3 linked regions of the Coturnix japonica genome follow. The protein of the gene in region 3 binds, or shares a complex with, the protein of the main gene of each other region. Links are inferred from orthologs where the notes say so. Each region holds a gene or a part of one and is shown on either strand. Other genes may lie near its edges.

Region 1 (10,865 bases), on a different chromosome or scaffold from region 3:
TACAATTCTGTGATTCTTTACCCAATGGCAACCCAGCCATCACCAGAAGGATGTTACAGTCCTCAAACACTAAACATTACAGCTGAAGAGGTGTTTTTTGGAAACTAGATAGTCCTAACATTAAGCAATTTATTTTCTGTAATTAACCTGCTTATTTCTGCCACACAATCAGAGAATAGATTATTATGATTTTTTTTTCCTATATGAAAAATATAACCACTAGAGTGCAAAGTATCACAGTGTATGTCCTCACATTAAAACTTTTATTATAGAAATGTGTTAACTTTTCCTTTGGACAACTCAGGAACTGTTTTTGTTGCTGTTGGCCTCTTATTTATACTCACTGAAAACGATGTGGCTTGATACAGAGCAACTCTGAAAGCTGGGTGGTGGTGTGGAGACATTGAGACCAAGCAGTAACATCTGAAAATGACAGTTTCAAGCTGCATTATTATAACGTGGGGGGATTGGCAGCCTGACTACAAAAAGAAAACATGAGGTAACTAAAACATCTAAGAAATTTCAGTTAAATAAACTGCATTCCAAACTCTCCTGCACTAATGTCTTTCCACTGGGATTCTTTGAAGTTAAAATAGTTCATCTGTAGCTTAAAGCATTTCCAGAGTGAGATATTAATGCTTCAAAGCACAATAAAACTGTGACCCACCATTACCTATGCTGCAGCAATTCTACAAAAAGCAGTTTAAAATGTTGGTAAGAGCTCCCCTTACTGGTCTGCCTTGAAATTGTTAGGCCCACACCTCTTCTGGTACAAAACGAAGATGTAAAGGATCAACTCTATTCACATTAAAAGAGATTAATATCATATTTCTATCAGAGCACCTATTACTTAGAAATGTCTTGTTGGTTGGTAAGTCATAAGACCAAAGATTTAATTTAGGAAAAATCTGTTTTCCCATCACTGAAAACCTACAAAGTGTATTGAAATACTTACGTATAGCAAACATAAGCCTTGCCAATGTCTAAGTTATACAACAGACATGGAGATCTAATCCTGACATAGCGAGTAATGCCTCATTTCACTAATCATTAAGCAATACCAGCTTTCATGGGATCATTTGTGAAAGTCAGTGCAGAGAGAGGGCTCAAATCCTCTGTGGAATTGGGAAATTTGGAAAGATTTGTTAGAAAAGCTCACTAATTTTCTCCAATGGCTTATTATCTGGTTGGAAAAGCCTCTCTTTATGTACATATTTATATATAGACAGCTATATTGCAGCAATGCAGTTTTCCATCAATATTATTTTCAGAGACCTACTTTTGAAGGCTCAGCTTGAGAGCTGACTGAAATTTGACGCTTATGGCAATGATGCCAACTAAGAAAAGTTAAAATAAACCACATTAATAAAACCATGAAATCCCATCACTTACATAGAAAAGGATCTTGTTAATGCACAGAACTCTGTGAGGTCACCTCAAGTACATGAGAACAAACTAGAAAGATGTTCTATCTACTCATTACACATGCAGATTTTTTACACTTTCAGTGTAAAGAAATGAGGACTTATCTTTGCAAGTTTTATCAAAGTGGCAATAGGGGGAAAAGAGCTAAAACAAAAACAAAATCAAATTTCTTCTTATTAAATAGAGCAATCAACTCTTTATTTTCGCCTTCCTATTCTTGCAATTACATATTAGCATCAGTAAAAACAAACAAAAAAAAAACAACCACACAAGCAGTTATATCTAAAGGATTGGTCTCAAGTTGGTGCTGCCCCTTCAATTTGCCACTGTTGATATGCAAATAACCAGTTTACAACTCAGTGTTATGATGCACGATTCACCCGGTGTCAAAACCTTAAATCCTCACCACCACTCCCCAAACTCAGAACAACACAGAAATGTTAATGCTGGTAAAAGTAGGTAATTATTATGAGGTACGTGTAACATGTGTGACAAAAAAATAAAGCCAAACTATTATTTTGGTATCCAAAACTCATAAAGTTAAAGAAGTATTTGATTTCATCTGACCATGCCTCCAATGTATGGGGATGCTCCATCAAGCACAGACTTGCTTTACATTCAATCAGTCACTCTATAAGCAAATTTAATCAATTCCACAGGAATATAACACATCAGAAAGGTTCATAAGGGATTCCAATACAGAAACATCACTCATTTCTGGGTCATACCATTTCACAAGATAACTCTAAAGGAAAACCAGAAATCACGCATCAAAAAGACCCCTCTGCATGTTCTTAAGTGTATCATTTTATGGATTTTAATAAAGACACTATAATATTTCAAAGTGAGAAATAAAATTCAGTTCAAGAGTATTTTGGCTATGAAAATTACTCACTTTCTGAAATAGCCACTTTAATGCAGAACTTACTAACCACAGTCTATTAAAACAGTAACAACCCAAACTACTGAAATTTGCTTTTTCAGAATTGGCAGCAATCTCATTTCTCATCTTTTTACTTCTGAGTAATAGGAAAAGAGTTTTGGTCCATTAACTCGCCCACTCTCTCCTGAAGGAAGTTAACCAGCTCTGCTAATACAAAGACATGAGTTTCATCCAGGTCTTGTATGATGAACTTCTTTCCCAAAGCATTTGACTCATCCAAGTAGAGCAGAAACTGCTTCATTGCTGGGTCACTGCAGAGACAAATACACATCAGATTCCACCTCATTGTAATAAGATACAGCTAAAAATTAAGAGCATCCTTTTAAGACATTCTCAAAGTTCTTAGGAAAATTGTACCAACTTCAAGAGCTGCTCGCAATCAAAAGAATGTTAGAAGAAAGACAAGGTTTACACAAAGAAGCAATGAAAATGATACCAAAAGTGGGTGGTCCTCAGTCTTCTTCCACACACTCTTTTTTATGGGTGCACAGAGGTTTATTTTTGCTTGTTTCTTTCAGATGTACCTTACCAACACACTATGAGTACCAGACAGCATAAGCTGGTGTGCCCAGGCATATGTCAGGCAATACACACATATTTTCACATAATCAACATACAGGAGTGCACTCAGTGCCAGTAGATGTACGTTACAGCAGAAACACCGATCTTATTCAGCATTTGAAGATTATAATCCTTGAGATTTTGTCCTCAGAACAGTTTAGCTATATACTGGAATAATACAGAGGGAAGGAAGAAATCTGTATATTATCAGCATTTCATAGTTTTATTTTAATGTTTTACTTTAATGTTTAACACATTCAGAAGTATTTATTTTTTCCAAACTTCTTGCTGACTTTTTACCTAAGATGCCCTGGAAAAGCTGAGTTGTGAAAAATTGGTATCTGAAAAGTAAACAAGGGGACAGGTTTGTAATCTGCTCTCAGGATGGACTCATCAGCTACCATTATGCAAAGGCAAGAAGGAAACAAGAAAGCAACCAGCAGCTAGAAAAGCCAACATAAAAGTGAGTTACCCAAGGGGCTGTTCAAACTCTGATGGCATAACAGATGCTACAGACTTCTTGTCAGGCAAACTATTTCCTTCCAGGGAGGATAATAAAGTTTCAAGCTAATACTAAATGGGAAATGATCACAATATTGTACAGGAACACACAAATCTTCCAGAGCAAGTAAAATAAATTACAAAAAAACTACAAGGCTGTACTGTCTGCTTGAGATATTAGAATTTCTTGTTTTGCTAGTCAACAACTCTGCTTTGGGTGTCTTGAGAAAATGCAGGAAGGCCATTTCTTGCGTTCAGGTTTATCAGCATAGTAGCACGCAGCCAAATTGGAGCAGAGAAACTTTTTGTGATAGTGGAATTCATGCTCCAAGCTGCTCATACCAAACTATGAGGCATTCAGATGTGAGCTGGCTAATGTCCAGTCAGCTCAGAAGTAAACCACAGTAGGCAGACAGCTGTATGCACCATGAAGGATGTTCTGCACTCATGCAGTTACAGTCTGTTAATATGTTTACAATTTAAACATACAGCAGAAATCCTGTACATAATGTAATGATATATAATGACTCCACAAACCTTGAGTGACACTTTCTTTAACCTGGAGGTAATTCTTATCAGAACCTTAGTCTAGGGACTTCAGACTGTATAGAAACAAATGGACTGCACGGATATGAACAGCTTACTGTCTGAAATTATGAGCATATTCATTTTAGAGTAGCCAGCCTTGAGTGTGCGAACTGGAATTGATAAAAAAAGAAAACAAAAGACGAAGCATGGACAAATTTCCCTTTAGAATCAGAACACATCACCCAGGATGAAAACTAATTAACATTATTTACAATATAACAAACAAGATGAATACATGATGGTTAAGTCTAAGCAGAAAACAACATATCTGAAAATATGAGTCAGGAATTAAGATTACCCACAACTGTCTCTCTCCTTCTTCCCTTAAAAACCATGCCTTTCATCTGTCTGTTTGCTCAGTGTCACAGAATCACAGAATGACCCGGGTTGGAAGGGACCTCAAGGATCATGTAGTTCCAACCCCCCTGCCTGGCAGGGCCACCAAACATACACATTTACTAGATCAGGTTGCCCAGGGCCCCGTCCAACCTGGTCTTGAACACCTCCAAGGACGGGGCATCCACAACCTCCCTGGGCAGCCTGTTCTAGGGCGTAACCACTCTCCTAGTGAAGAACTTCCCCCTAACATCCAACCTAAATCTTTCCTCCTTCAACTTGGATCTATTGCCCCGTGTCCTGCTATTGTCAGCCCTTTCGAAGAGTTTACTCCCCTCCTGGGTGTAGGTTCCCTTCAGTTATTGAAAGGCTGCAATAAAGTCACCCCGCAGCCTTCTCTTCTCCAGGCTGAAGTTTACAGCAAATACATTTTTGGGTCTAGACTCTTAAAAGCACCTAAAGTATTTCCAGTCCTAAAGAAACAGTTGAGTAGATGCTGATGCTGTCACTAACCATTCAATCAGGACGCCCTTCAGAACATTCACCATCCTCGCAGCTCTCACAAACGCTGCAAGGTGCGGGTGGCAGCAAAGACTCCTGTTTGAGGTTACAGATAACAGCAGATGAAACCTGTAAGACAAAGAAACGCTTTAGTTGAACTCAGCGACCCAGGACCCCCCTCGCCCCGCCAGCACCCAGAGCGGCTATGCCCCATCCCCCCACCCACTCCTCCGACAGCAGCCCAGCCTCCCGTTGCCGTGTGCGAACCGTGGCCTTGCGAAAGGCGGCCGGGGCGAAGGCAGACAGGCTCCAACCCGTCCCTAGGTTAAACCGAGGACGGCGAACGAGTAGCTCCGGCCCAGCAAGCCCAACCACTGCCCCCACATACACGTACTACGCAAGTGCAGCCCTCGCTCCTCCTATTGCCCTCCTGACACTGTGCGGCGTGATGACGTTGAGTGCGTGAGCGACGGTGCCGGCTGCGAAGGGAGATAGGAAGCGGAAGGTACGGGTAGCGCTGTGGAGAGAGGGGGATGGCGGCGGGGCAGTAGGAGGGGCCAGGGATGGGGTCTGTCCGTGGTCCGATGATTGTGTTTGTCAAACCTCAGCCTTGAAGCCCCTCCTGGCGTGGGGCTGGCCGCTGGCATTGCCCCAGTTGTGCGGAGGCGACCGCAGGGAGAGCGTGCTTATCAGAAATGTAATAAATGAAGTCAGTGGATAAGTGCAGTGCTGAAAGGAGACAGGGCAGAAAGTTGGTGCATACAGTAATCGGTGCTTTCACATGGCCTGAAATGCCTCATTGCTTAACACTACAACTGTACATTCATTGAACCTCAATCTGTAGATGCTAAAATACATCCCTTATTAACTGTGATGTTACAGGGTATGTCAGCAAGAAAAGACAAACGTTTCCAAATCTGACTTGCCTACAATGTATATGAGTTGTTAGAGCCTGCTAAGTCAAAATACAAGACTTGGGTGTTAAGATAAAATTAATTATGAACAGCTAATTACTAAGTCATATGCTGTACTCAGCACTGTCTTCATGTGAACATGATGCGTTTAAGTGAGGATTACTAAGACATTGGAAAAGGCCTCACACAGAATCACAGAATTGTAGGGGTTGGAAGGGACCTCTAGAGATCATCGAGTCCAACCCCCCTGCCAAAGCAGGCTCCCTACACCATGTCACACAGGAAGGCGTTCAGGTGGGTCTTGAATATCTCCAGAGAAGGAGACTCCACCACCTCCCTGGGCAGCCTGTTCCAGTGCTCCGTCACCCTCACTGTAAAGAATCACAGAATCACTGTAAAGAATCACAGAAAAATGCCTCTGCCTCAAAGCAGAGCAGGTAGTCAGAGATGGATACTTACCAGTATTAGCACAAATATGTAATTGCATGAAGATTTTCTGTAAACTTTTGCTGTAACCAAAATGCAAACTACTAAATTCAGGAGTTTATAGGCTTTTTAATTTTTACTTAGAGTGCTTTATAACGCACAAAATGACATAAATATGCTTTACAACCTTTCCTGTAAAAAGGGAAACATGGCTACAAGTTTTCTGTTGTAATTGCCAAATCAATTTATTTATTTTTTTCTTTTTCTGAATATACAGAATGTCAGTGGCTGCTTACTGCATATTTTGCTGTAGACAAATAGGAACTTCTGGCCCAGCCACCAAACACCACCCATCTTGGAATAATATAAGTAAGTACAGTTCTGTAAGTATCAATCAAAGGTGTTATTAAAAGAAGAAAAGGTCTGTGTGGGTGTAACACTGTGCATGATGAAGTTGACAAGAAGAGACATAAATCTCCACATAACTTGTGATCAAAGCTTTTATTTTCCTGAAGCGGATGTCTGCTTCTGGCTTGCTTTGCATTGCAGTAGTAACACTAGATTATGTAGATGATGGAAGTCCCACCAAAATACAACCTCATTAAATTATTTTAAATTACTTCTGTTTCATCTTTGGTCGTTTTTTAATGATTAGCACAGTGAAAGCATTGCATCCATAAAGAGTTAGTAACAGAGCAGCAATCGAACAAACCTTGTTTCTCTCTCCTTCTGTACTGAATTTTTTTTCCTCTTCTTTAAGTTCTATGATCATCCCTGCTTAGTTTCTGCTTTCTTTAATGCCTTGTGTATAGAACTGTAAGAATTTTTGTTTTAAGGTGTATTTTCCAGCACTAAAAGACAGGACATTTCTTACCATTTCTGCTCTATGGGAATCACTGCATTTTTTTTGTTTGTTTCTTCTTTGCCAGTTATTTCTTTGGCATGTAACTGCTTCTTGTCTGCATGCCACAATTCTTAAAGTCAGAAGCTGATGGCAGTGGGTCTAGGGCAAACCTCCTTCATGCTGAAGAAAACCAATTATTCATGATAGGTGAGATACATTCCATTGGGTTTGCTGCTACTCATAGCAATAGAGTTGCACTGTACTTACAACCTTAAGTCTAGATAATCAGCTGAACTTCACCCAGCACAAATAATTCAAGTCTGACATGAATCCTCACATTTAAAAGGGAAGGTGCTGTAAGTGGCATGTGTTTATTCAACTCTTTGCTCTGTAAGTTATATTTTTCAAGAAATTCCACTCAATCTATTTGCTTAGGGAGATTCTGCAGGGATTTTCATGTACACTGAATACCCAGTCAAGAAGAAAAAGTTGACTCCTTAACATAGTGTGGAGGTTCAAGCAAATGCTGATGATATAGACAGAATTTTTCCTGTTGATTCTTGCAGCTGAGCACAAAATGTAATTGATGAGTAGCAACACTCAAAGTAAGTAACAGCAGTAAGAAACATTTTGTTGCCTTGATTAAGAAAGCAGGAAATTCTAATTCTGCAAGATTTTATTTAATTTTAAATTTAAGTTGTGATTTTCTAAAAGCCAGACAAAAACAGAAAAAAAGCTTATTCAGAGTTCCTGAAATTCCTACTGTCTGATAATCACACGTTATCTATTTATACTGACTTGATACATACAAGTTTGTTTGACATGATCTTTTTCATTTTTCAAGGAAAAATTGCAAAAGTAACTGGATCGCTTATACTAGGGTAAGTTGTAACCAGCAAGCTTATATGTAAATTACATATACAGTGAAAACTTCAATTCACGTTACTTTCAAAAAGTGTGACAGTATTTGAGGAGTTTAAATATGCTGTATTTTTGAAGCATATCTTCTGGTAGATTGACTTGTTTTAATTATATTAGAGTCCTTTTTCTGTGCTAAATTGATGTAATCGATGGACTTCTATGTATTTGGTAAAATCTGGTATTTGTAATTAACAAATAAAGGATGATTTATGCCAAAATCATTGTTAAGATAATTTTGCCTTTATCTTCCTCTTTTTTAATAGTATTCACATAGTTTTCTTTCATTTAAAGAGGTTTTGTATTCATTACATATGAAGTTTGGTCCTTAAAGAAGTTACTGCAAATCGATACTCAAGCTATACATCAAGAAAAGCTTAAATCCCACGTGTATATATGTACATCTTCTCTAAATCGAAATGAATATCAAGGTAAGATATGTCACTGTTTTGAAACGAAAGATAAAATTAACAGCATACAGAATTTCTGGACTTTACTTGTATAGCCAGATACATTTATTGAGATGTGACAAAAATAGTTTTCTTTGCAATGTCACCTAATTTATTTTTCTTGAAGATATATATCCATACAAAGTTATCTCAAAGTATAAATATGACTATCTGAAAAGAAATAAAAGCCAGCCAGCATCTTGAAATAATTTGCAATATCTGTCTTTCAAACTTAAATAATCTAAAAATGCTCTTTTAGGAATCACATACCAAGCCAGAAAAGAAATCCATAGAGCAGTAAGGAAAATACTCGAGGCAGAAGCTAAAATTTTCCGGAGACCTTTTAATGGTAGGTGTGAAAAGTGTGGCTTTACCTGTGAATAGTACTCTATAGAAAAACCTAAACCAGGGAGGTTGTGAGTGTCATTCTGTCCTATTTTACTGCAGCAATTTGATGTTAAAATATTTCTCTGAATTACTACTAACAACTAATTTTGAAGCATTAAAAAGAACAGATTATTTCTTTTTAATTCAGTGAAATAGAAATGTGCCTGTTAAAATGCTCATTAGGAATAATTTGGGTTTTATGTGTTTTCTGCTAAAGAACGCTTTAGTACGTTTGATGGAGAAGATCATGAATGTGCATTATGGCTCCTCTTGAAAAGGACTCAGTCAGAAGACAAAGAGGTCCGACTGCAGGCTGTGCAAGAGCTGGCAAAGAACACTCACTGGCATGGTAATGTATGCTAGTGTAGCTCAATTCATCTAAAAAAAAAATGTAACAATGTCTCCATTATCTGCTTCTAAGCTTCTGCTGCTACCTTGGAAAAATTTCTAGTATCTGAAAGAGGTGTAATTTGATCCAAAATTAGTTTTTCTTTACTCTGTAAGCAGTTTTTTTGTTCCTAATACTCTTCCTCATTGTTACAATCAGAAAGATCAACATGGTGGAAGGGTGATACAGGAGTATAATAGCAAAGGGACTAGCATGAATGGAATGGTGTTACAAAGGAAAAAGAAACATGCTCACCCATCTCCAAAGACCTAGGCTTTCAAGGAAAACCCCACAAGAGAGGGATCTCCAGAAAGAGATGCTTTCCCAGTGGCAGTCAGCCCTTAAATGAGCCTTTAGGCCTTCACCTGTGCTCTCAGGGCTGACCAGATCCTTTCAGGCCTTGACTCAACAGTTACCATACACAGCACATAACTGCAGTGTGGGCCTCTCTCTACTCCCCCACCAGATTATCAGGACCACCATTTAGAATAATGCTGCCTTGGTGCTAGAGAGAACTTCAGGTTCGTTAGCTCCCTGGCCTTTTGGAGATGTTAAGAATGTCATTGGTTCTGGTAGTAATTGCTGTAAGGCTCTGCCAGAAAGGGGTTTAAAGCCATGGTTCAGTTTAAAAAAACAAACAAATAAATAAATAAAATTGGTTAGGTGATGATAGGTAACCACAGCAAAACAGTGGTGACCAACTAGAAATAGAGGACTTGCAAATACAAGCATTGTAAATAAACCATTTTCTGTCCTAGTTGTTACTGTTACCTTAATACTGAAACATCTTAAGGATTTTCACAGATGTATTCCACAGAAAAAAAAAATACTTTGATTTAATGCCATGGTATCATCAGTTACATTATTATTACATTACATGTCATAAACTCACCAATAAGTAGGAAATCTTCCCCTTTGTTACTGTAACGCTGTAACAGGATGGAAAGTACAGTGATAATAGCTGTGCGGCAAAATCTTTGGCTACAGCAAATGAGAATGAGCTGCAGATGCAAAAATGAAGGAAAAGAGCTGCTTACCCTTGGAAGGCCTTAGGAGATGCCCTCACCTCCACTACCAACTTTTAAATGAGGTCTGGGAAGGGGTGGATCCTGATTCCACCCCTTTCAGTCACTCAGGGCATTGCATGCACCTGAGCTCCCCTGGGTTAGCTCTGCCTTCCCACCAGGTGCTCAGTCACTGTTTCAGGCCATGACTTGCATTTCCACTGCAGTAATCTACTTCAGTATCTTCTTAAACATACTATAAAGCATGGTATAGAACTTAAGGTTCTCCAATTCTTCTTAAAGCAGCAAATGTCCTTGAACTCCCAAGTAAAGTGTATATATACACACACTTTTCTCCACTCCATCACTAGTCTGTGTAAACAACATAGCACTCTAACCCACTCTGATTCTAGTAGTAGAGTCAGTTAACATCTTGTGCAATTCCACACAGTCGAGTGTATGTTGCTTCAGACCACCAATTTCAAACTCTAATTATCCCAAACTATTTACGTGAAAAAGTTGTTGAAAAAGTTGAAAAGTTGAAAACTTGAAAGACAGATGTACCTAAACTCTGTGTGCTAATTCAGTATGGCCAACATTCATGTGAGAAGGCTGCTAGCAGATGTTCTCAGTCAGTTTAAAACTCAGGTTTTTAATACTATGTGCAGGAAAAAAAAATG
Region 2 (11,181 bases), on a different chromosome or scaffold from region 3:
TTTTAATACAGCAAGAGAACTACAGTGTGTCCTTTAATGGAATAAAGCAGAAATGTTGACTCAAAAATTCAAAAATCCTTAAAATTCTAGGTCTCACACTCTTGAGGTCAATGTAACATGGTTTCATGGCTCCAGGAGAGTCTGGAATTCCTCTTTTGTTCTCATCCAAGAGCCTCTCACGAACAGGTTATGTTTGCATGCTCTGCCAACTTTTCTCTGGTACTTGGTGTTATAGGCAGAAGACTGAAAAAGTCCTCTTCCACAGTCATGTTTCTTGCTAGAACTCTCAATGCATGGATCCCACAGGGTCTTTGGCTCAGTAAATAATTTCTGGACCAAAAAATGATGCATAGATTGGACTTAGTTCAGATGCAAAAACTTGGCCTTGGATCTCTTGTAGGTCCCTTGTGATATAAGTTACTATTCTGAGCCAGCTAACCAATATTCTTTTTCAATTTGGAATATCCAAAATAATATGAGGGCTGTATAGATAACATCACAGAGGAGTTTCCTAAAACAAAACTTGGAATGTGTGCTGCATGCCCTGCACTGTAGTACTGTGTTTGGCAAAGAAACTACATCTGCTGAAATCTCATCCACACTGTTTTATGGAAGTGAATACTTCTAAGCCCATACTTCTAGAACATGGTTTAGTTCTGCCCTGGAAAAAGTGAGCAACACTAATATTTAAGCAGTGTGGACAATTAGAAACAGAAATAATCAAGCTGTGTTCCCGATCCTCTTTTATTTCTCTGTATAGATGTAACCTCAAAATCCAAGGCAGCGTGAAACAGAAACATGATTATGAATACAGAAACTTCTGTATCAGGTAAGAGAGGGAAATCCTGTTATAAAGCTCACTCTTCATTCATCTGTGGAAAATACATTCCATGATTCCACACCAGTAAAAAGAAAACCTCCCAAATAAACCTAGCATATACTCTTTAACACTACCCTGAAATGTACAGGTACAGAAAAGGGTGTTTAAGATTTGCTTCAGAAATTAACACTTGATCAAGACTAAAAGATAATTACAAGATGCATGTTAGTATGAAAGAGGCAGTTTTGTTTAAGCACTGGTCTCTTACGAGACACTTTAAAGAGTTTTATTTTCTGGTTAACAAAATACATCTAGTAAGAGAGAGGTTCAATGAATAGAAGTTCTTAAAATCTGAATTTGCTGATTTTGGATAGACATAATTAACATACTTTTGTAAAAGTAATGTTTGAGAAAACTGAAGATACCTGGAAAGTGGGGAGACAGCTGCTGGAACAACGAATGGGAGGCAAGTTATCCTGTCCTTCATGCAGTGTGCCTCTTTTCAAAAACTGTGGTTTATTATCATCTTCATTCATTTCTGCCACCCAGCTCTGAAAATAAGTAAGACTCCGTACCTTAAAGCTGTACAACAGATACACATCATAGTCTAAAATGACCCTGCAACTATCCTTACAATGCAAAGCTCTTCGTGAGGAAAAGCAATTAAGATGAAGATTAAAAATAAAGCTTAAAATCAAGCTTTAAAACCTTAAACATAAGCTTAAGTTCCTTAAGTTTAAAGGGTTATTTCTATTCATAACATTGTCAATTCAAGAAAACCTAATGATGAACACAGCACAAGTGCACATTCCTTTATCATCATTTAGAGCCTCAAAATGGTAACCATTATAAAGAGAAATATGCAAAAAATAGAAGTGCTTTTAATCATTCAGAAGCACTTGGAGAATCACCCTTAAAAGACAGGAAACAATTAGTCTCAAGAAGAAAGAGAATGATTTGATTAGAACATGCTATGAACAAAATTGCCTCCAACTGACCTTCTACATTTACAAAGCAACAAAAAGCATTCACCTGTTTTTTCATAGATTCTAATTAAAAATAGATACGCTTAATTTCTCGTAAGATTAGTTTTGCTGCTTTATCTTTTCCTACATAATTCAATTCATAGCATGTTAATTTCTGGGCCATAAAAAGCATCACTTCATTATTTAAGGAGCATGGCCAGCAGGTCAAGGGAGGTGAATCTCCCCCTCTGCTCTGTCCTGGTCACGCCTCACCTGGAATGCTCTGTCCAGGTCTGGGCTCTCCAGTACAAAAAAGACAGGGATCTCCTAGAGAGAGTCCAGCAGAGGGCTACAAAGATGATAACTGGCCTGGAGGATTTCCCCAATGAGGAAAGGCTGAGCAGCCTGTGTCTGTTCAGCCTTGAGAAAAGAAGACTCAGAGTTGATCTTACTAATGTTCATAAATATCTTAAGTGTGGGAGTCAAAGGGACATGGCCAACCTCTTTCCAGTGGTCTGTGGGAACAGGACAAGGGCAGATAGCCACAAACTGGAGCATAAAAGTTCTACACCAACATGCAAAACAAATTCTTCACAGTGAGGCTGATGGAGCACAGGAACAGGCTGCCCAGGGAGGTTGTGGATTCTCCTCCTCTGGAGATATTCAAGTCCTGTCTGAACACCTACCTTTGCAGCTTGTAGCTTTGGCATGTGGGCTGGACCTGATGATCTCTGATGGTTCCCTTCTAGCCCCTACAGTTCTGTGATTCTGTGTTTCTGTTATATATACATCTGGATTTTTTATCACAGGCAAGGGGTGCTACTAAGGAATGACACTACTAGAGATTCTGGTTTTTTGGCTAAAATAATATAATCTAAAATGCTTATGCCCACTTAGACTTCTTCAATATTTTCAGTTGCAAAGAGATCTTCAGTATGTTCCATACTGAACAGTATGGAAAAAATGATCTGCTCTTTCATGAAAAGATTGTGAAAAGTGCATTCTCTATACGCAGTTTGCAATTGTTTTGAGCTTTTTCGAATGAATAATAATATACAAATATGTTCTGTAGAGTTATGATGGGTATTAAAGAGTAATTAGCATTATCTCAATAAATATTAACAAAGAAAACCACAACAGAACCCTCCTATCATTTCCTCATTTAATCAAATAATCGTGTTCTACTTAAGCACAAAATGAGGTTGAACAATCAGTCAAGACTGACCAAACAAAGAGGTTACATTACTGACCACAATGAACTAGAGTCATACAGTACCATCAGTTCACCATTAATTGTTTCCCATTCCTCAGCTGTAAAATCAGCTGCTGTGGCTGCTGGCTTATCCTTTCTGAGAACTCTGCTCCCTGGAGCTAAATGCTCGATACGCTTTTCACAAAACAACATCAGGTCAGGATAACATCCCTCTTCACCAGACCTTTAAAATGAACACATAAGCAAGTTACACAGGGGAACTAAATTACGCTGCATTCCCCACAAACATCCATACTTGTCTGTATGCAGTGACTATAGAGTGTTATTTTCCTGTTCTAACTGAAATCTATCACCTCTTGATTTTGATCAGAAAATCTCAGTTAACCATTTTCCAGCAGACATACAGACACAGATCCACTGTGGACTTGAATTTCTAACTCTTCATTTAATCATCTGGACGCTTTTACCACAATTACTTTCACAGTGCATCTTAATTTCAAGGTTTTAAATACGAAAACTACAAAGAGGTTCAAGAGAGATAGAATGGGAATACAATTAGTAATGAAGTTCATTAAAGATAACGTTTACCTTAGCACCTTGAGAATCTTTTCCAGGTATGGAACATCCGTACATTTTTCAATGAACTTGTAGTCGAGATGACCAATAGGTATTTGATATGTTTTAGTAGTTCCTTGGTCCAGCAAATACATTATTGACGCATCACTCATCACTAAACATTAAAAGAAAAATAAATCTCTGGGGGCTAGAGCAATGCTAATTTAAGGAATAGCCGTGTTTTAATGCTACAAGGTACTAATTGCAGCAGAACTACTGCCTGATGACCTGATGCCACGATTTCTTCTTCACGGAGATCTACCGAGAGGCAGCAATGGCAACATAGCAGCCGTTGCTATGTACAACATGGCGGCCGGCGGCGCTGTGGGGAGGTAATAGACGGAGAAGCCGCAAGAAACCACACAGCCAACCCCTTGCGAGGAGCCGCAGAGCCCCGCCGGCTCTGTGGAGGACACGGAGTTACACGACGGCCCTGACACCCACCTACCGCGCTCCTAACAGCCTTCACCTCCGCCGTGGACGCCCGCCTTGCCCGCGCATGCACAGCGGAGCGATGGCGAAGGAGCGCCGCGTAGTGAGTGAATAGCTGAGGGGCTCGGCCGGCCCTGTCAGCGCGGGGTCGCTCGAGCTGCAGCTCTCCAACGTTCTGACTATTAGGAACATATAACACTGCTTTAATTTATATTTTATTAAATATAATTTCCATAAAATGGTTCTTAAAAATGATTTGACTTCAGAGAGGGTATTCCCTTCAGAAATACAGCCGTTGAGTTTGAGCTTCCATAAAACATCAGCTTTCAGTGTAGTATTTCATCCAGTCTAAATCCAGTCCGACGCTCTTCCAAGTGCCCTGAGCCTCACCACTGCCCACAACCTTGGGCCCACTAAAACCCATCCCTGTTGCTTTCTGCAGCAGCCAGCACACCCCCTAATAGTGGTATCATACTGTACAGATAACAGTGAAATGACATGTTTGTCTTTCAACAGCCTCATCAGCACTGGAAACAAAATTTGGATTTGCAAGCATTTAATCAGGCTAAATTAGCACCACACACAAAGCAGCAGTGTTTTTTAAGACAAATTGGCGCTATGGGTATTTTAGTATTAAATATTCTGAATATAAATGTTCTGAACAGGAAAATGGATGCAAAAAGTTTGGGCTTATCAGTACAAAACGGCAACCACTTCTTAATACAGACTCATGAGAAATCATCCGAAAAGCAAAATGACGTTATTTCAGTTTTACCTTATCCAAGGTTTCTTTATACTGTAGACCTACTTATTTTAGTGAGTACAAGCAAGGTCACAAAACAGCCTGAGAATCTCTATTTACACATTTATTTTTATCCTGATTTGGGTCCTGTCGAGTTCAAATCCAAATTTCAGACCTGATTTTGCGTGACTTTCAATATGTCTTCACTGGGATTTATTCAAACCAAGATTATCTTATGCAGTTCACAGGAGTCCAAAAAACACTGAAGAGCTGAAACACAGGTAAGGCTTAGGTGTGAGCTGTGAAAACAAGGTTAACACTTAACTCAAAAATGAATATAATACCAATGAATTTAACAGAATGCTGCACATTCTGACTAAAGTTTAAGGAAGAAACCCATTTCTAAAAGTAGTATAGACAGAATTGAGATGGTATGGCAAGTAGTATCACAGTGAAGTTTAATATTTTAATATCTTAAACCACTAAACTATGCATTTATACACCAATGGATTTACAGAGCAAAGTTGCCAGAAATATTAAACTGAAGTATAAAATTGATGTATCTTCAGGTCAAATCACCGGGCATCAAAAACCACCACTGGAATTGTGCAGTTAAAGAAAAATGCGTTGCAGTTCAAGGAAAGATCAGGGGAGGAAAGGGGTCAAGGAGAACAAAAAGAGGGAATGCATAAATCTGAAGTCAATTTTCTTACACAGCTTGCCCCACAGCTTCCCAAATGCATTCGACTGCCTTTGTAAAAGGATACATCTTTTTGTTCTTTTCTTGTACATTATTCTGTACCCACACTCTCGGCATCTGATCGGATCTCTTGCCTTTATTTCATTTTCTGTATGACATTCTGATATGATGGAGAAGGAGAATAGCAATGAGTGAACAAAAGCAGCATATCTAAAGCACAGATAGCTTTCAGATGTAACAATGGTCTAATTCCTTTTACTAGCAAACAAAGCATAACAGAAAATAATTGCAGTGAATTTTAATAAGTAACTGAATTATATTAAGATACTGTTAAGGAAAAAAAAAAAAAAAAGAATTGGCAAACTTAGATTGCTAAAAAGTATCCAAACATTACTGTACCATTCCACACTCCACTAATGAAACCTTCCTCTCAGCCCCTCCGAGCCACCAAGTTTATTTTCTTAAGCCTAAATTTTTCTGAGGCTTTTAAAGTGGTTACTCAAAAGCTCCAATTTTCACTTTATTAACTTATGTTTAGGTAGAGAAAATCTGACAACTGTGCATTAGTGAAAGTTGAATGACAACACTATTTCCAAAAAAACTTTGTCTCCAAGATGCAATATATAAAAGTTCTGCTATCATCCTCTAGAGATGCAGGACCCCCACACAGCAACAGAGGTTCTAGTGAACGACTTCCACATCAATAACCACAAGTAATCCATGCATATGGGAGCATCAGTGCATAAAGCTTAATGCATCATCAGGATCCACAACCCAGTTATGTAGATTTCTGTACTCTGTGGCACTATGACTGCACATTCCTCATTATTAGAGCATTGAATACCACTAATGTCTTTTCTTTACCTCCACAAATGTAAATCATTGGCTGCTGCTTTGGGGGCTGAACGTCCTTCTGTGAATCCATGTTCTAAGCAAAAACAACAAATAAAATACATGTTTTTTGTTGTTGTCTTACACAAATATTTCAATATCTCCATCTAAAGTTGACAGAAATTGAAAAAGTTCTTTTAAAATAAATACAAAAATATTCAAGCTCTGTTTAATATATGCTACATAAGATGATACACATTGGAAAGGACTTCTGTTTGTCCTGGCACGCTAACCTTTTGCCTTCAGGTTCACCAACATTCCTTCACAATATCAGACAACTACTCCACAAACAATTCATTTTTTAGCAACCCCCACCTAACATGTAGGTATTACTGCAGACCTACGTTTTAAGGTTGTGACCATACAGAGAAAGAAAGCATTTTTTCTCCCCTTCTTGATAATACCAGGACAAGGGGAAATGGATTTAAGCTGAAAGAGGGTAGACTTAGGTTGGATATTAGGGGGAAGATCTTCACTAGGAGACCAGTGAGGTCCTAGAACAGGCTGCCCATGGAGGTTGTGGATGCCCCATCCTTGGAGGTGTTCAAGGCCAGGTTGGACGGGGCCCTGGGCAACCTGATCTAGTAAATGTGTATGTTTGGTGGCCCTGCCAGGCAGGGGGGTTGGAACTACATGATCCTTGAGGTCCCTTCCAACCCAGCTCATTCTATGAGCCTATGATTCAATGATCCCCCCCCAGCCCGCCTCGGTTCAGCGCCAGCCACGCCTCCTCCCCACTGACCCCCAGGGGCTTGGTCGACCCTTTCCCCACTCCCCCCTCACCCCGAATCTACCACCACCACCAACCCGGCAGGGATAAGCCGAAAGCGGCACCAACCTCCACACTCCTCGCCGTCCCCTCGGCGCCGAATGATGGCGTCACTACGCAAAGCCGGAGGGGGCGGGTCTGCATCGCCGTCCTTAAGGCGCTGTGTCGGGTTTACAGCGGATAGCGGCTGATGGAGCCTTGGGGGAGTGAGAGTTGGAAGCGCTAGTGAGCTGAGCCTGGCGCTGGTAACTAAATCTCGGTACCCTGCGGTCTGTGCCATGTATTCCCGCATTGAAACAAACTGGCAAGCCGCGGTGCTGTCAGTCACCGGCTCAGCCCTACAGCTGGGCGAGTGCTGGGTGCCCCTTAGGCGTCCCTGTGTGAGTAATGGCACGTCCTCAGGTACGTAAGAACGTATAACAAATACTGCTCTGTAGATAACATCTCCCTGATGTGAGGAAATGCGTCTTTCCGAACGCCGAATAACAACCGTCTCCTGGGGAAAGCTAGAAGTAATAACAACGTGCTAAGGATTTCTAGGCGGCTCATCGGCTTTGTCTTGCTGCTGTGCGAAAATAAAGTTAAGTGTAACTTCTTAGTGCCGGAATAAAACACATGTAAGAATAACGGGACGTGCACGGCAGTGATGTTCGCTGCCCCGGGTCCTCCGAGGTGGGAGCTGCTGCCGGGAGCAAAAATCAACCAACCAAAACGGAACGATCCCTTCCTCCGGTGATGGACACAAAGTAATTAACACCTCACAAGTAACTAATCACTGAAATTAAAGTAAAGCCGATAATCTTTCCCCGCACTCGTTTTGTATTTTAAAACGGGTTTGACGAAATGATTAAAGCATCGAGGTGATGCTTTAAAACCTACTTACTAATTATACCCCATGAGAAAAAAATATATATCGATTGTCCCGAGAAAATCATTCATTATCTTGATTATATCCATCATTTAACTGCTCCCCGGTGGGATGGAGTCTTTTTAAACGTCCATTACTTCTGTGCCTCACGCCGCCTCCCTCGGGGTATAGCCCCGTTCCGACGGGCTGATAAACGCCGGTCCTGAAGAGAAATTCTTCCGACTGGCGTGAAACTGCTACAGAAAGCACTTTGGGAAACCCTGGATTCCATTTCTAAACTCTTTAATTCGCATTCTAAAATGGAACGAGGAACCAGCGCAAAAACCCTAATGTTTTTACCCGTTACAGTTACCCTCCGGTCGCACTACCCGTACACCGAGACGCCCCGTTTCCCCGCTCTGGGGGGGATGGAGCCCGCCCTGCTCAGCCTTAGTTACCACGGAGAACCTCCATCTTTCTGCCCTGGGTGGAGGCGTTACATTCGGAGTTACTCCCAACGATTTAAAGCATGTTTTATCTCACAGTGTTTCTGGTGGAGCCGTAAGCGTAAACCATGAAAGAAAAAACAGAAGTTCTGTATGATTATCTAGCTCCTGAGCTGTCGGGTACAAATAAGCTAATTAAAATGAATTAATCAGCACCCTTACATCTCAGATTTTAAGCTCTTGGTGCAGACAACGTTCCACCTGTGAGGGCTCGGGCTACCCGCTGAAGGTGCCTCCCGCCCGACTCTGAGAAGCTGTGAGCAGCGGGAACGCCTCAGCCCGGCTCCTGAGAGAGACAGAACGGGACGGGCAGAGGGGCCGCACCGGGGCGCTTTATGGAGGGCTGGGAGCGGCGGGAGCCGCCGAGCTGGAGTATAAAGTACGATGAGAGCACGGAGCCCAGATGGTGCCGTCCGCATCCTTGGAGGCAGCGCTCCTCAGGCCGTCCCCCGCCCTGCTCTCGCCTTAGGGCTGCGCTACTGGGGTGGCAGAACGGAGCGGTTGGTAAAGGCGGGCAGTTCAAACCCAAGCGAGGGAAAGCGGCTGCAGCCGCACGTGAGAAGCCGGTGTGGGTGGAGAGAAGCGAAGCGGCTTCTCACTAAGGGCAACGGGCCCTGAAGCTGGGCGGCGAGCTGTGGAGGCGGCAGGATCCCCGCCTTTCCCAGCCAGCTGGCCGGGAGGGAGGGCAGCCTCGCCTTTCATCTCCTTTGGCAGCCCCGCCGACCTCCTCAGGCTGTTCTCGGTGGTGGGGGCCTCTATGGTCGGTTTCTTCAGCCCAGCAGTGTGCTAGATAAGGAGGTGAAGCTGTGTGTTCGTGTCCAGCAGTCCAGGTGACTGAGAGAGCCCCCTCACCCCGACACTGCTCCCTAGGTAGCATCAGTTATCCTCATTGCTGGTAGGTGGATGTGGCAGTGAAAGCATGTATAGACAGAGGGGAAGCTTTCTCAGCTGTCGTCCCACTTCTTATTAACGTTTCTTTTGTACCTCTCTTTTCTACTCGTGCCCTGTCTCACTTTAGGCTGTCGGTAAGGGATTAAATAGTGCTTTGAATTCAGTATATTTGCTGTGGAGGATCTTCAATTGCCTCACAAATAGGGTAAGTTAACCCCATTTGACAAAAAGGATTGAACTAAGGTATCGATGGCATTAGATCTGGGAGCTCTAAGACTAGAGACTTCAGATAAAGTCAGTTTTATTGCAAGTATGATTTCTAATGAAACATCTGATAAAGTAGATCTGTATTACCAAAGCTTCACCTTTATCTGTTCGGTTAACAGGATGGACAGTGACAAATAAGGGTAGAAAATATTTTGTTAGAGGCAGGTTTGTACAGGGTGCATTACCAAGGAATGTAAGTTAGAATCAAGCTTGGGTAGCTCCATTCTAGAACTCATCTGTGGTACAGAAGCCATTCACATTGCTTTCCAGTAAACAGCATTCTTTCCTCCTCCATTTTAGAATGCTTTCTAAGCTTAGGTGTGTCATATATTATTCTCAATCAAATGTCCAAATGCTGCCCTTATTTAGTTTGGCTCTATGAACATGAAATTCTTTGTTCTGTAAACTGCCAGAAAGTTTGCTGTTGACTTGTGGGCCAATTTGAAGACTACAGAATTGGAAAAAACTATTAGAGAAATTGAAGGGACAGGCATGTCTTTTGTTCCTTCTTCTCTAGCAAGCTTGATATGTCCTTACTATATGACTAGTCTGTTCTTCCTCGCTTGTCTGTTTCCTGATGCCTAAAAGGAACCTAACACTTCCAGCAATTACTTCAAGATCCTGAAGTAGTAAACTCTCGGTTTTATACATCAAAACTGGTAGATCAAATAAGAGTGCCTTATAAAGCAGTAAATGAGTCTGAAAATGTTTTTTGAGGTAGCTTTTATGAATATAACTAGTATTTTTTATGAATATAACTAGTATACAGGCAAAATCCATATAGGAAGCTCGGAGGCTCCTCCTGCTGGACGTTGGCTCACTGACATTGTAGTTTTCACTTTTGCTTAAGGTTTCAACGCTGCTTTAACTCTGCCGTTCTGATCATCCCAACAGCAGTAAAAACCTTTTTTTCCCCTGCAATTTTATGCTGCTTAAAAACGTAATATATACTTTGTGTTGTGGTATTTCAAATTTCCTCCATTCTCATTTTGCTAAATGAGTGTATCCAAGGAAAGAGCAAAAAGCAATGAGGAAAAGCAGGTGCAAAGGTGAGGTACTAGAGTAAGATGAAAATAATGTACTCGTAGAGATATATGGGAAAGGGAAAATAACCAGGCCAAATTTGTCTTCTAATTCTAATTTTTCTGCAAAAATTCTTTTCATTTAGGTGCATTCTTTGATTTAAACATATCTTGTTTTGTACTGCCATGAGTCTGGTTCCACAGACCTTTATGTCAGGGTCTCACAGACTGTTCTCAAGTTTCACGGTCCTCTGGACTGGCATTGCAGTCTACTCACTGTAGACAACAAAGCAATATGTCTGGATAGTTGTGTAGAGGAGATGGACCTTGGGGTGTTAGTTGCACTTGGCTGAACATGAGCCAGTGGTGTGCGCCCAGGTAGCCAAGAAGTCCAGTGGCTTATGTAAGTAATAGAGCTGCCAGAAGGACCAGGAAGGTGTTTTTCTCTCTGTACTCAGCACTGGTGAGGCCATACATCGAGTACTACACGCAAGTTTTGTG
Region 3 (10,405 bases):
GAGCTATTATAATCCAACGCATTCTCCTTCCATAAATGCTTACATTTGGGAAACAGTGTCATGGGTAAGTGGCTGCACGGTGGCTTCCTGCAGCTTACCCTGCAGCTCTGATTGTCTTGCCCGCTCTTGCAAAAAGGTTGAGATGGATCTGGAGATAAACTTCTGTATCATACTGGTAATAAAATCTGTCAGAGATTAAAAACAGCTTAAGAGTCTTCACTGAGCTGAGCTAAAACCTGAGTACAGGACAAGCATGGACAACAACACTTCTGCGGAGAGGGCAGAAGGAAAGAAATTAAGAGCAGTAGGGAAGGTGAAATCCTGCTCTGTAACAGTTCTGCATTTATACCAGGAAAAAACAAGGTACCCGATTTTAACTTAGTGCTGTGCCTGGACCATCTTGTAATTCAAGGCCAGAACTATAAATCATCAACTGATCCTGAGCAATTTTTATACTGTGAAATTTAATAGGCTTCGCCCATTCTTTAAAATCTCTTCAAAGGTGCTTAGGAAGAATATTAAACATACGTATAATCAAATATCCACATTTCTGGGCACTACGGTATTTCCTACATTTCCTTCAGAGGTGAAAAACATCATCTCTACCAGCGAAGCAACTGGAGTGGCCTTTCAGCATTCAGGCCCTCAGTGAAAGCTTGCTTCACATGCAAAGTGCTTAGCCCCAGCACAAAAAGGCAGTGCTTGCCTTGGCTGAAGCACCTGAAATCTAGCCCGGCTTTTATAAACCCTTTCAGCTACACATTACTGACAGAAGATTAATTAGTCAGGAAGTGAAGAAGGAACACATGCAATCTGAACCCTCTTTGGCTAATCACATAAGAGGAAGAACAAAAGCCGTTCCTCACTACACATACCTTCCCCAGTATCCTGGAGATCACGATATAGGTACTGCACTGCCTCTGAAGTACACTGGGGTTTGTTTTCAAGAGGGGAGAAAGAAAAGCTTGTTCAGCCACCAAAACAACTGCGGTCAGGGCAGAGGCAGGCACTGCCAGTTCGTCCCACTGCTTTAGGCAGCAACCTCCAAACTGCCTCACGCTCCTCTTTCTCTACTGAGTGGTGATGGTGCTCAGACAGCAAGGGGAGAGCAACCATGGAGGACAATAACCCCAGCCAACATATGCTCAAAACTGGAGAGTGTCATGGAGCAAAACCACGTACTGGAGTGCAGAGCCCTTACTTCTAAGGATAAGCATTAAACTAGAAACATATTTTGAACTATCATCAGTTGTTAGATCAAAGAGTCTGACAACACTTCAAGGCTTATTTGCAGCCTTCTAAAAAACTTAGTTTTAATGTTGCTGGAGATAATGAGCTGAAATAGCACTGCTAACGCAGGAACGTGTCATAGCTTATCCTGTACGGAGACAATTCTGCCAAGGACTCCCTAAGAGACGTGCTTCCAGGGCTCTGGAAACAATCTCAAAGCAAGACTGCTCAGGAAGGATGGGTTTTTTCTCATCTCAGGATAACATGGTTGGAAAAAGGACCCATCCCAGCTGCAACAGCAAAGTGAGCCCACTCAGGAATGTTGAAAGAGTTGTGGCATATGCAGGCAGATCACAAATTGTGTTAAGAGAGATTTTTCTTCCTCCTCTCTCAGAACAAAGCATCATCTTCTGCATGACAAAGACAAGTCAAAAACAGCACAAAAGAACAACAAAAAGAATCCTTTTCTGCTCAGATGGGAACATGCTGCCACCTGCGGATGAAAGCAAGCAAGGCCATCTTGAACTACAAACACACTGCATGCTAGTTAGTGGTCCCTTCATCACAGACAGTAGGGGCTTGCAGGCCTTTCCCAGTGGGAGGCTGAGCCAACCGGCTTACACATTTTATGTTTTCTGTTGGTGTTTTTGTGTTTTGTTTGGTTTGGTTTTTTTCAACAAAACATTTTCCCTTACTTTATAGCAAAGGTCTGCACTGATCAGTGCCGCATGTGCTAGAATACCTGAAGACTGTATACGAACAGCCTCAGATCTGTACTGGCACCTCAACAGACCTGGTAGAATTCTTTTGAACTTCTCAATAAAATGGACCCTTTGATTCAATTTCCCAGTAGATCCAGGAGTTACCATAAGCTGAAAGCAATAGAATAGAGATCCTGCTAACTCTTTTAGAATAGCTGGGTGCCAATTATCTGGAAAAGAAATGATCAGCAATTGGGAGTGTAATATAACCAGTAGCTGCTAAAAAACTTAAAGCTTTGCCTGCAATAGAGCTGATTTTTAAAGGTTCTGGCAAAGTGAGGAATCCTGAAAGCCATGAGCCAATGGACGCAAGAAACACAATCTGAACAGACTGACAGTATGAATGGTAAACTTGTAGGCATTTGGGAAGATACAAACTCCCCAATAAAGGCCGATTGAGGCTTACGATCCCTCATTTCATATACTGTTAAGACTCCCACTATAAAGAACCAAGAAATTACAGTTTAAAATAATATTTTGAAACTATCTTTATACTTTTAAATGCTGTAGGTGACATCTCCTAAATTATCTTTGCAGAAATAAGCTATTAAGTAAATGAGAATCCAAGGCTGGTATGGAACAAAGAAGCTGCTTGATTCTGTTTAAAATAAAGAGTTCCTCTGAGTTATTCTAAGACAAAAGAGCTTTACGTTTTGTTCTATGGCCTTGCACATACAGCTGTTTAAGGTCTGATGACAACTTTTTCCTTCTTTTACTATCATGTGACGCTTTGGAATATGGCTTCATGTGGCATGTTACGGAACAACAAGTGATCAACATGAAGTATTCAGCGTCCCTGAGCCATTTAAAATAAGGTCTGTTACCAGGGAATGCATTCTCCCTTCTGTACTTACAGATATCTGATATTGGCTCTGATGTCATCATTGCAACACACCCTGACAGGCGTAACTAATTTCTGTAAATACATATATTATTGTATAACCTGTCCTCTTGCTGCTTTCAGCCAACAGGCACACTCACGTCAGAGGACTTTACCACTATTTGTAAGATAAAAAATACAGGCTGAAGCTCTGGAGTTCCACTCCCAGCTCTAGACAGCAGCACCAGCCCACACTCAGGGTGCCCTCCCAGTCGTAAACCAACTCTTCCCAGTACTTTTGCTCACATCTCCTCCCAGTCTGCTTGTTCCTTTTCTTCAATTCCTGGTTCCTCATTGCATTCACCAACAAAAGTACATGACTAATAAATTGGGACAAAAAGCAGCACACAAACCCAAAAGAAATTCCACTGTTCTTCATCTGCTTTTCTGCAGCAAAATATTCGATGTCATCTAAGCCACAGATGGACAACTCTTAGTCTTTTCTGTTCAGCTACACTTGAATTGTAGGGTTCCTGGTGCCATGTACCAATGCATTCAGTAGAAAACAGAGGTTATTATCCCTGAACTCGTTTGCTAGTCCTGTTATCTTCACATTCAGCTGTCTAAGCTGAATTTAAACCATGGATGCAGATGTAAATAAACACTTACCATCGTCCACAGAGAAATGACAGCTCTTGTCATTGTAGTAAAGAAGTTGCCTCTTATCAGGGCGGGTAACAAAGAGAATTTGGTCCCCTAAAGCCTTTAAAACAAATGCAAAAAAAAAGGACCCCAAATCAGTTCTATTTTAAGAATAACAGACCCAGATCCTGTTCTACAAAGAGATCAATGAATCAGAGAGCAGCAAAATAACAAGCAACAAAATGCAACCAAAGTGGACACCATCAATAAATGCATTAATAAAGCAAAGACAAGATATAGAGGGCTGAGATCAAGATATGAAAGCACAATTAAGTGCCTTCAGTTGCAACATAGTAGATAAAGCACCTTTTGTAAGAAAGCTTTGACAGCTGTGCTGTCAGGTCAATTCTAAACATAAAGGCCGACGTACAGAAAAAGGTACTAAATCAGATCTTCTGAGTCACCACAAGAACAAAAAGAACTCAGAAAATTCTCTCTTAGCTTTTACCTCTCCTTTGAGAACCTATCCAAGAGTTTTGCTGAAGCCCAGACAAGAGTGACTCACCTTTATAGCTTTATGTGCATTGGGCAGCCCTTCCTCTATTTCTTCTAAAAAGATTCCTCCCAGCCCTTGCTGGTCATGCTTGTCCAGGAGCCTGAGCAGAGCCTTTTTATCTTTCAGGTTGTACTTGGGTTTGAAAGCAAACTTCCCATCTATAACTTCTATTTTTGGATTATTGACTAGAGCCTGTAATAGAAATATACATTTTAAACCTTGAAAGAGAGAACAAACTAGTACTTCAATAGCTACAGTATGTCAGCCATGTGTTATAGCTGACAGTTCGGAGGTTTGAATTTGAAACAAATTTTAAATCCTTGGATCTGAGATCCAGCCTGGGCATAACTCACTGCAACATACAGCACAACATTCTCATGGTGCTGCTTCAGAGTGAAGATGTCTCATGGACAATTGAAACGACTTAAGATCTGATCCAAATCAGTTTTTCTGTGCACGCGGTACCATCACGGATTACTGACGCAGTGATAATCTTATATAAGCTTTTTGGTTCAGTCTCAATATTCTAATTTGTTATGGAAACAACCTAGAGCTACTCTTCAAAGCTTTCAGTGGAGCCAAGTTTTCATGATAGCAGCATTGCCAGTTTTCTGTTCTCCAGAATATTAGTATTAATTAAAAACATAACTTAAAACATCCTAGTTTTACTACAGAGATTTCTCCACCCCCCTGCATGTATCAACAACCTTTACTACTTTGTTGCAAGGATTCTAAGTATAATATCAGCAAAACCAGATATTGCTGAAGTATAAATACTAAATACAGGGTTTTGTTGATTTACTAGTCTTGAAATGCCATGATGGCATTTGGATCAATTAAGCACGAAGATGAACACAGCAGGAAGTTGCAGTGACTCTGCAAGAATGAAACCTAACATAAATCATGAAACTGATGAACTCCAGCAGGGGAACTTTGAGATCTATTACCCCACAATTCCAGACACAGATTTCACAACAGAATTCTTCAATTCAGTAAACAACAAAGATCTGAGAGTATGAGTTTTAAGGCTTTCACTTAAGTAATTTGAAATCTTTGATAGTGATAGGGCTTTCTGCTTGAACTCTGTTTAGAAGAAATTTCTTTTAAAAAAAACAACAGTTTGCATGTATAAGATTAGCAATAAGAAGTTCACCTCAATTACAACTTACTCTTTGCTCTACTAACAGCAATTCTAATTGACCCTTTAAAAACGTCAGAATAGCTTTCATTTCAGTTATTTCAATAGCAGGAGGCACAAGACAAATCATGAATCAATGCAACTTCTCAAAAGCAGAACTTCAATATTTATAGAGTCTGTAATTAAATAAACATATACAGTTCAAGTTTATCACTATCCTCCAGTGTCCAATCAAAAGCTTTTCTTTACCTCATTCATTAACCACTGCTTCTGTTTGAGTCCAATATCTAAATGCTGTGTTTCATCCAAAATCTCTTCTAGAGTTAATGGATGCGTATCACCACGCTGGTGCCGAGTCTGGAAAACAAAGAGGATCTATCAGTGATCTGTAGTTCTTTATTCAGCAGCTCAATTACCACAGGGTAACAAAAAACTGGCAGAAGGTGATGACACAGTAATTTCTGTGAAACCAAGAGACACAGCACACGGAGCATATGAGTACCAACTTCGGGCCTCTAAAGATGTGAGAAAAATCAGTTTGTATCAGCTGAGATAAATGACAAAATTATCTGTCAAGCACCAAGTTACAAGTTATTTTGATAAACAGCTCATGAATCCTAAAAGCTGATAGCATCTTCAAATTCCAAGTTCTAATGCAAACAAAACCAGTCTCCTTTTTTTAAGCAGACCTGGAATAACTGGGATTCCAGTGATGAAGCAACATAATGGGCCTTTTGTTTACTCACAGCATTTTACATTTTAACAGCCCAGTTTCTTGAAATTCTTGGTCTTGTGCAGTAAATAAATCTCAAAGTCTGAAACATTCAGCATCATCTTACTATCACAGAGAAAAAATAAAGCATTTCCAAGCATTATACTTTTACATGAAACCACCATACCTTCATGTAATTCACTATTTTTGCAAGGACTCCAAACTTGTAGCCAGAGCTTCCTGAAAGGGCTTTCAAATTAAACGAGCCATTGCTGTGATCTACAAAAGGAGAAAATAAACACATAAACAACGCTTTCAACAACTACTTCTACAGCCAACAACAGAAACATTTCAGGAGCAGTCATTCTAGAGGGGTCTGCGATATAAGGATGGGGATACAGACATGCAGCTACCTGCTGGCTCCAGAATGCTTCTGAGCACGACTCTGTATCCATACAGATACTAGGACATGAGCTCTAAGAAAAAAGCGAGCAGCTGCAGCACTAACCTGCAGTATTAAACCATAAAACTGGCAAACTCAAAGCGATTATCCCCACTGACTTTCCACTCCTATCTCAGCAATATGGAACAGTTACGCTTATTTCAGTCAATACCCACCCAGTAAAGTAAGGCTGTGTTTCTCAAGATGACTGATCAGCAGGTTGCCCTGCTCACGCAGTTACTCAGTATCCCCTTCTGCTACTAAGCAGTAGCACAAGTATCACAAGGACTGTTACTGCACAAAATTTGTTTCAGCATTCTCCTAAGGTTGAGCTAATGATGCTGTATTAACTGCATAATGCAGTATGTTAACTTTAAATGTCCACTAACTACTACCAGAAGCTGCGGGTCCATTACCAGCATAATGTTGCTCAAATCTAACAGAAATAGCTTTCCAGATTTTTAACTTCTCCAGAAAAGCAAAATTCCCCCCCATGTCATCACAGGTCTGTGCATCTATTCCTACTGTTTCTGTGAAAAATAAGTGGAGGGACAGGAAAGAGTAATGGAAGCACCTCAGCTGCAGGAGAGGCTGCAGTGGGTGCCATGCTGGGTTATCACCCAACCTCAGGAACTGCACATTCTGAAGCAATTCCACAACATTTGAATGGAGGCTTTACACAGCCATAAACCAATTCTAAAATTAATGCAGGATAACCAGCACAACTGCAGCTACATAAGAACATTTTATTCTGGTTACTAAATTAAGAGAGAAACAACAAAATCCAGCTCCCCATACAGACCCCGCCTACAAAGATTTTCCCCTACGGGATCACAGGAAAGCAATTGCTTTGAAGGAAACATGGTAAAATCATACACATAATGAGAGACGGGCAGTGCCTAAAACAAAGATCAGGGCTGAGCTACAGCTAAGACGACTTATCACGTATTTGTTTTGTCAGTTGAATCTTGAAGATTATCTCGTTCAATCTGCTTGCCTGCAGTCCCTGAAGCTTCCCCCCAACCCCCCCACATGGAGCCAGGCTGGCCCTGCAGGGAGGAACACCCATAACGTCACAGCCTGAGTCCCAGAGCAAAGCAGACAGCTCAGGGCCGCTGCCCTGCACCCCTTGGCTAACAAGCTCATCGTGCAGTGAACATCCCAAAAAATGAAGCATAGGAAGGAGTGGCTTCTTAATTCCGGCAGTAAGAGCCTATTTGTGAATGATTTCCTCCTGGGGGTGGGGGGAGATGGAAATGAGCATAAAGGAAGTTGTCAGCAGCACCGCACGCTGGCCTATCACAGCACAGCTCCATCTTAGCTGTGCCATAGGCTGCATTAAAACAGGGAACGGCACGGCGCTCACTCAGCATCCTTACAGACAAGAGGTAGGTGCACGTTATTTTATAATGCTGCCTTACGTTCATCTTAATTGCTGCAATAAAATACACCCGTAACATATGAGCCTGTAAAAAGCCTACAAGGATGGTTTTTCTCTAGGTTTAGCTGGATTTTATTCTGTTCAACGCGGGGTGCTTGCCTTGCACTGTCAGACACTCACCGTCTGTGTGCTAATGGCAAACTGATGACCACTCCATCTTAGAGACAAGCTAACCCAGCCAGCCCGGATTCAGGAAACAAAATGGGTTTGATGCTTACTGGTGAGGCCGCTTGCTTTCTGCAGCCTCACTCTCATAACTGAGCGTGTGTTTGTGCAGAAAAGACATGGAAGGCATTTTTCCTTACAGAGCAATTAATTAGAGCTGAAATTTAACAAACGTATCTCACAGATGGGTATTTTGCAAACCTCACCAATTGCAGTAGCTAAAAGAAATGCGTGTTTGTGGGTGTGCTAGAAACATGTTCCAGAAATCAGTACGTTCAAGTAGGAAGACAACCCCTTTGGGTATTAATATCACTGTCAGTACCGGAGCACTGGGTACCACACAGAAAGATGAAAATGCATTGAGGTTTGTAAATGCTGTTACCCCAAGATACCTATTATGGCTTCTTAAAAACAGGATTTCCTCAGCACTGCTCTGAAATCAGTTTTTTGCCAGTCATTTCCCTCTTTATAGAGCCAAATCATTAAACATTTAACTCACTAAATGATGCAGGAGCTGAACTGCATACAAATTGAAGCGGCTTACAATATGAATTTAAATTGTGCCTTTATGAACGAAGTAAACCTGTGTGAAGTCAGCCCGTTTTCTGACAGCTTTCAAAGATGCTACTCTCGTTAGCACTGCACTAATTCCAAAGGCTTAGCAATGGCTCCTTCAGCCTTGCACTCTGTAATCACAGCCAGCAGCAGCTGATGTTAACCTGCCCTGCCCTACAGCCTCAGCTACAAAGTTAAGAGAGGAAACAGTGGGTACTGTACAGCAATTCCCCAAAAGTATCTGTAGCAAATGCTAAAGACAGGGCTCCTTCTCAGCAGCAACGCGGCTCTGTTTCAATTAGATCCAGTGAAGAGGGAAAGATAAAGAGCAAAGAGTGAAACTGTTAAATGATCACAGTAAGATGTTCGTGACAAGCTGACCTGGCTGTACCATCCTGGTTTTTATTAATACCTTTCTTTATAAATAATGGCACTAAAATAATGACAAACCATCTAACTGCTTTGCGGAACCCATTTCAGTAGACAACACCACAGTTCTCCTTTGCCACTTCTTGTTCTTTTGGACAGTTTCAGGTTTTCACTTCCTCACTCCACGCTTGGTTTTAACTTGCTGGAAGATTACTACCTCATCTTAGCCAGAGAAACACAAGTTACTGTAGCTCTTTAGATACATTTTTATTACTTTAAGACCATATACCAAAAGTGCTACAAGTTCCTTCTGTTTTGGGAGACAAAGCAAGGGAAAGAAGGAAACTGGGGAAAGACACCCAACTGCAAAGATGTTATTGCCAAACATCTCATCTGCTGTAACTCCGAGAAATTCAGAGACAGACAAAACTGCTTTTTGTTCTAGATAAGCTGCAGCAATTACTGCGACACTGCTTACTTTCACATTTCATAGCAGTGGCCTTTCTGAAACAGACCATCTTGACAGCAATATGACTCATGCCAAAGGCGTATCTGCTGAAGCCAGCTTCTCATTTTCTCCCTCCCACGCCACAGCCTTGCCTCCTGCTGGTACAAATAGGCAGCACTGGAAAAGGGACGGCAGTTAATTGGAGAAGGTGGCTGAAAACAAGAAGGCAGGTTTCAGAAGGGGTTGGGCTGGTTGTTCCTTCCATCTGTCCTAATGCTCACAGCACAGATTTATGGCTGGTCCTCCATGGAGCCAGGAGTTGGACTCGATCTTAAGGGGTCCCTTCCAACTCAGGATACTCTGTGATTCTATGAAACATGCTAAGAGTTATCAAGGCAGCTGAACAAAGCAGCTGCATTCCTCAAGCTGAAACTTCTCATCACCAGCAGGAACAGCTGGGGAATAAGCATCTCAGGAGATCCGGGTGGGCTTATTTTGGTTCTGTTTTTAGGTTGGGATGGTTTTGCAGTTAACCAGTCAGACTAACAGGCAAATACACAATAAGGTGTTTTCAGAAGCCAGGATTATTTTTGTGAAGGTGAAGAACAAACCTTTAAAAAGAAAAAAGGTTTATTTTATGTCAGTAGAGGAGGAAAAAAGCACACAAGAAAGCACGCAAACTCCAACGACACTGAGAAAGTTCTTCTAAGCACTGCTTTCAAATCACAAACTCTGGGTCAACATTAAGGACAGACAGGTTGCTGAAATTACTGTACATACAGAAAGCTGTAACCTTGTTGCCTTCACACGTACTTGTAAAATGAACTGTTTTAGTCTGGAATAACCAACGCTACTTCATACATTAGGGAACAGTAATCAGCATTCCAGACCAACTGCCAAGTTGTACCTTTTGGTGTGATACTTTGAGAGCAAGCATGTGTATCCAGCAATGCATTTCTGTAAGATGTGTGAGAACAAAGTCTGAGATAAAGCTTTTCCAATTTGGGATTAAAAAAAACCAAATCACACAGCATGTCCTTGATAGCAGAGTCCTCAACAGCTTTGTTTTTCTGTTTCAGCCCTCCAATCTGTGACAGGGAATACGCTAAGACAACTCTTCAGGAAT

The links.
Region 1: GTF2E2 (region 3) and GTF2H5 share a complex: the UniProt entries of both Homo sapiens proteins name them as parts of the TBP-based Pol II pre-initiation complex. The link is inferred for Coturnix japonica from reciprocal best matches to the Homo sapiens genes GTF2E2 and GTF2H5.
Region 2: GTF2E2 (region 3) and POLR2K share a complex: the UniProt entries of both Homo sapiens proteins name them as parts of the TBP-based Pol II pre-initiation complex. The link is inferred for Coturnix japonica from reciprocal best matches to the Homo sapiens genes GTF2E2 and POLR2K.

Annotation. Positions count from the first base shown.
Region 1 is NC_029518.1:46,896,360-46,907,224, reverse strand, and holds GTF2H5 (general transcription factor IIH subunit 5), read right to left. Parts: upstream 5,350-10,865; 5' UTR 5,250-5,349; exon of another isoform or gene 5,123-5,249; intron 4,985-5,122; 5' UTR 4,903-4,984; coding exon 4,868-4,902; intron 2,620-4,867; coding exon 2,439-2,619; 3' UTR 1,602-2,438; downstream 1-1,601. Other genes in the region: protein SERAC1, read left to right, coding at 6,474-6,564, 7,884-7,920, 8,252-8,388, 8,666-8,755, 9,011-9,142. UniProt on the Homo sapiens protein: Component of the general transcription and DNA repair factor IIH (TFIIH) core complex, which is involved in general and transcription-coupled nucleotide excision repair (NER) of damaged DNA and, when complexed to CAK, in RNA transcription by RNA polymerase II.
Region 2 is NC_029517.1:116,284,169-116,295,349, reverse strand, and holds POLR2K (DNA-directed RNA polymerases I, II, and III subunit RPABC4), read right to left. Parts: upstream 7,312-11,181; 5' UTR 7,292-7,311; coding exon 7,217-7,291; exon of another isoform or gene 7,186-7,216; intron 6,416-7,185; coding exon 6,352-6,415; intron 5,648-6,351; coding exon 5,555-5,647; intron 5,386-5,554; coding exon 5,363-5,385; 3' UTR 4,897-5,362; downstream 1-4,896. Other genes in the region: SPAG1 (sperm-associated antigen 1), read right to left, coding at 1,246-1,371, 3,062-3,221, 3,587-3,726. UniProt on the Homo sapiens protein: DNA-dependent RNA polymerase catalyzes the transcription of DNA into RNA using the four ribonucleoside triphosphates as substrates.
Region 3 is NC_029519.1:30,640,529-30,650,933, reverse strand, and holds part of GTF2E2 (transcription initiation factor IIE subunit beta), read right to left. Parts: coding exon of another isoform or gene 10,404-10,405; exon of another isoform or gene 10,359-10,403; intron 7,690-10,358; exon of another isoform or gene 7,391-7,689; intron 6,139-7,390; coding exon 6,047-6,138; intron 5,505-6,046; coding exon 5,397-5,504; intron 4,202-5,396; coding exon 4,019-4,201; intron 3,575-4,018; coding exon 3,481-3,574; intron 1-3,480. Other genes in the region: SMIM18 (small integral membrane protein 18), read left to right, coding at 10,404-10,405. UniProt on the Homo sapiens protein: Recruits TFIIH to the initiation complex and stimulates the RNA polymerase II C-terminal domain kinase and DNA-dependent ATPase activities of TFIIH. Both TFIIH and TFIIE are required for promoter clearance by RNA polymerase.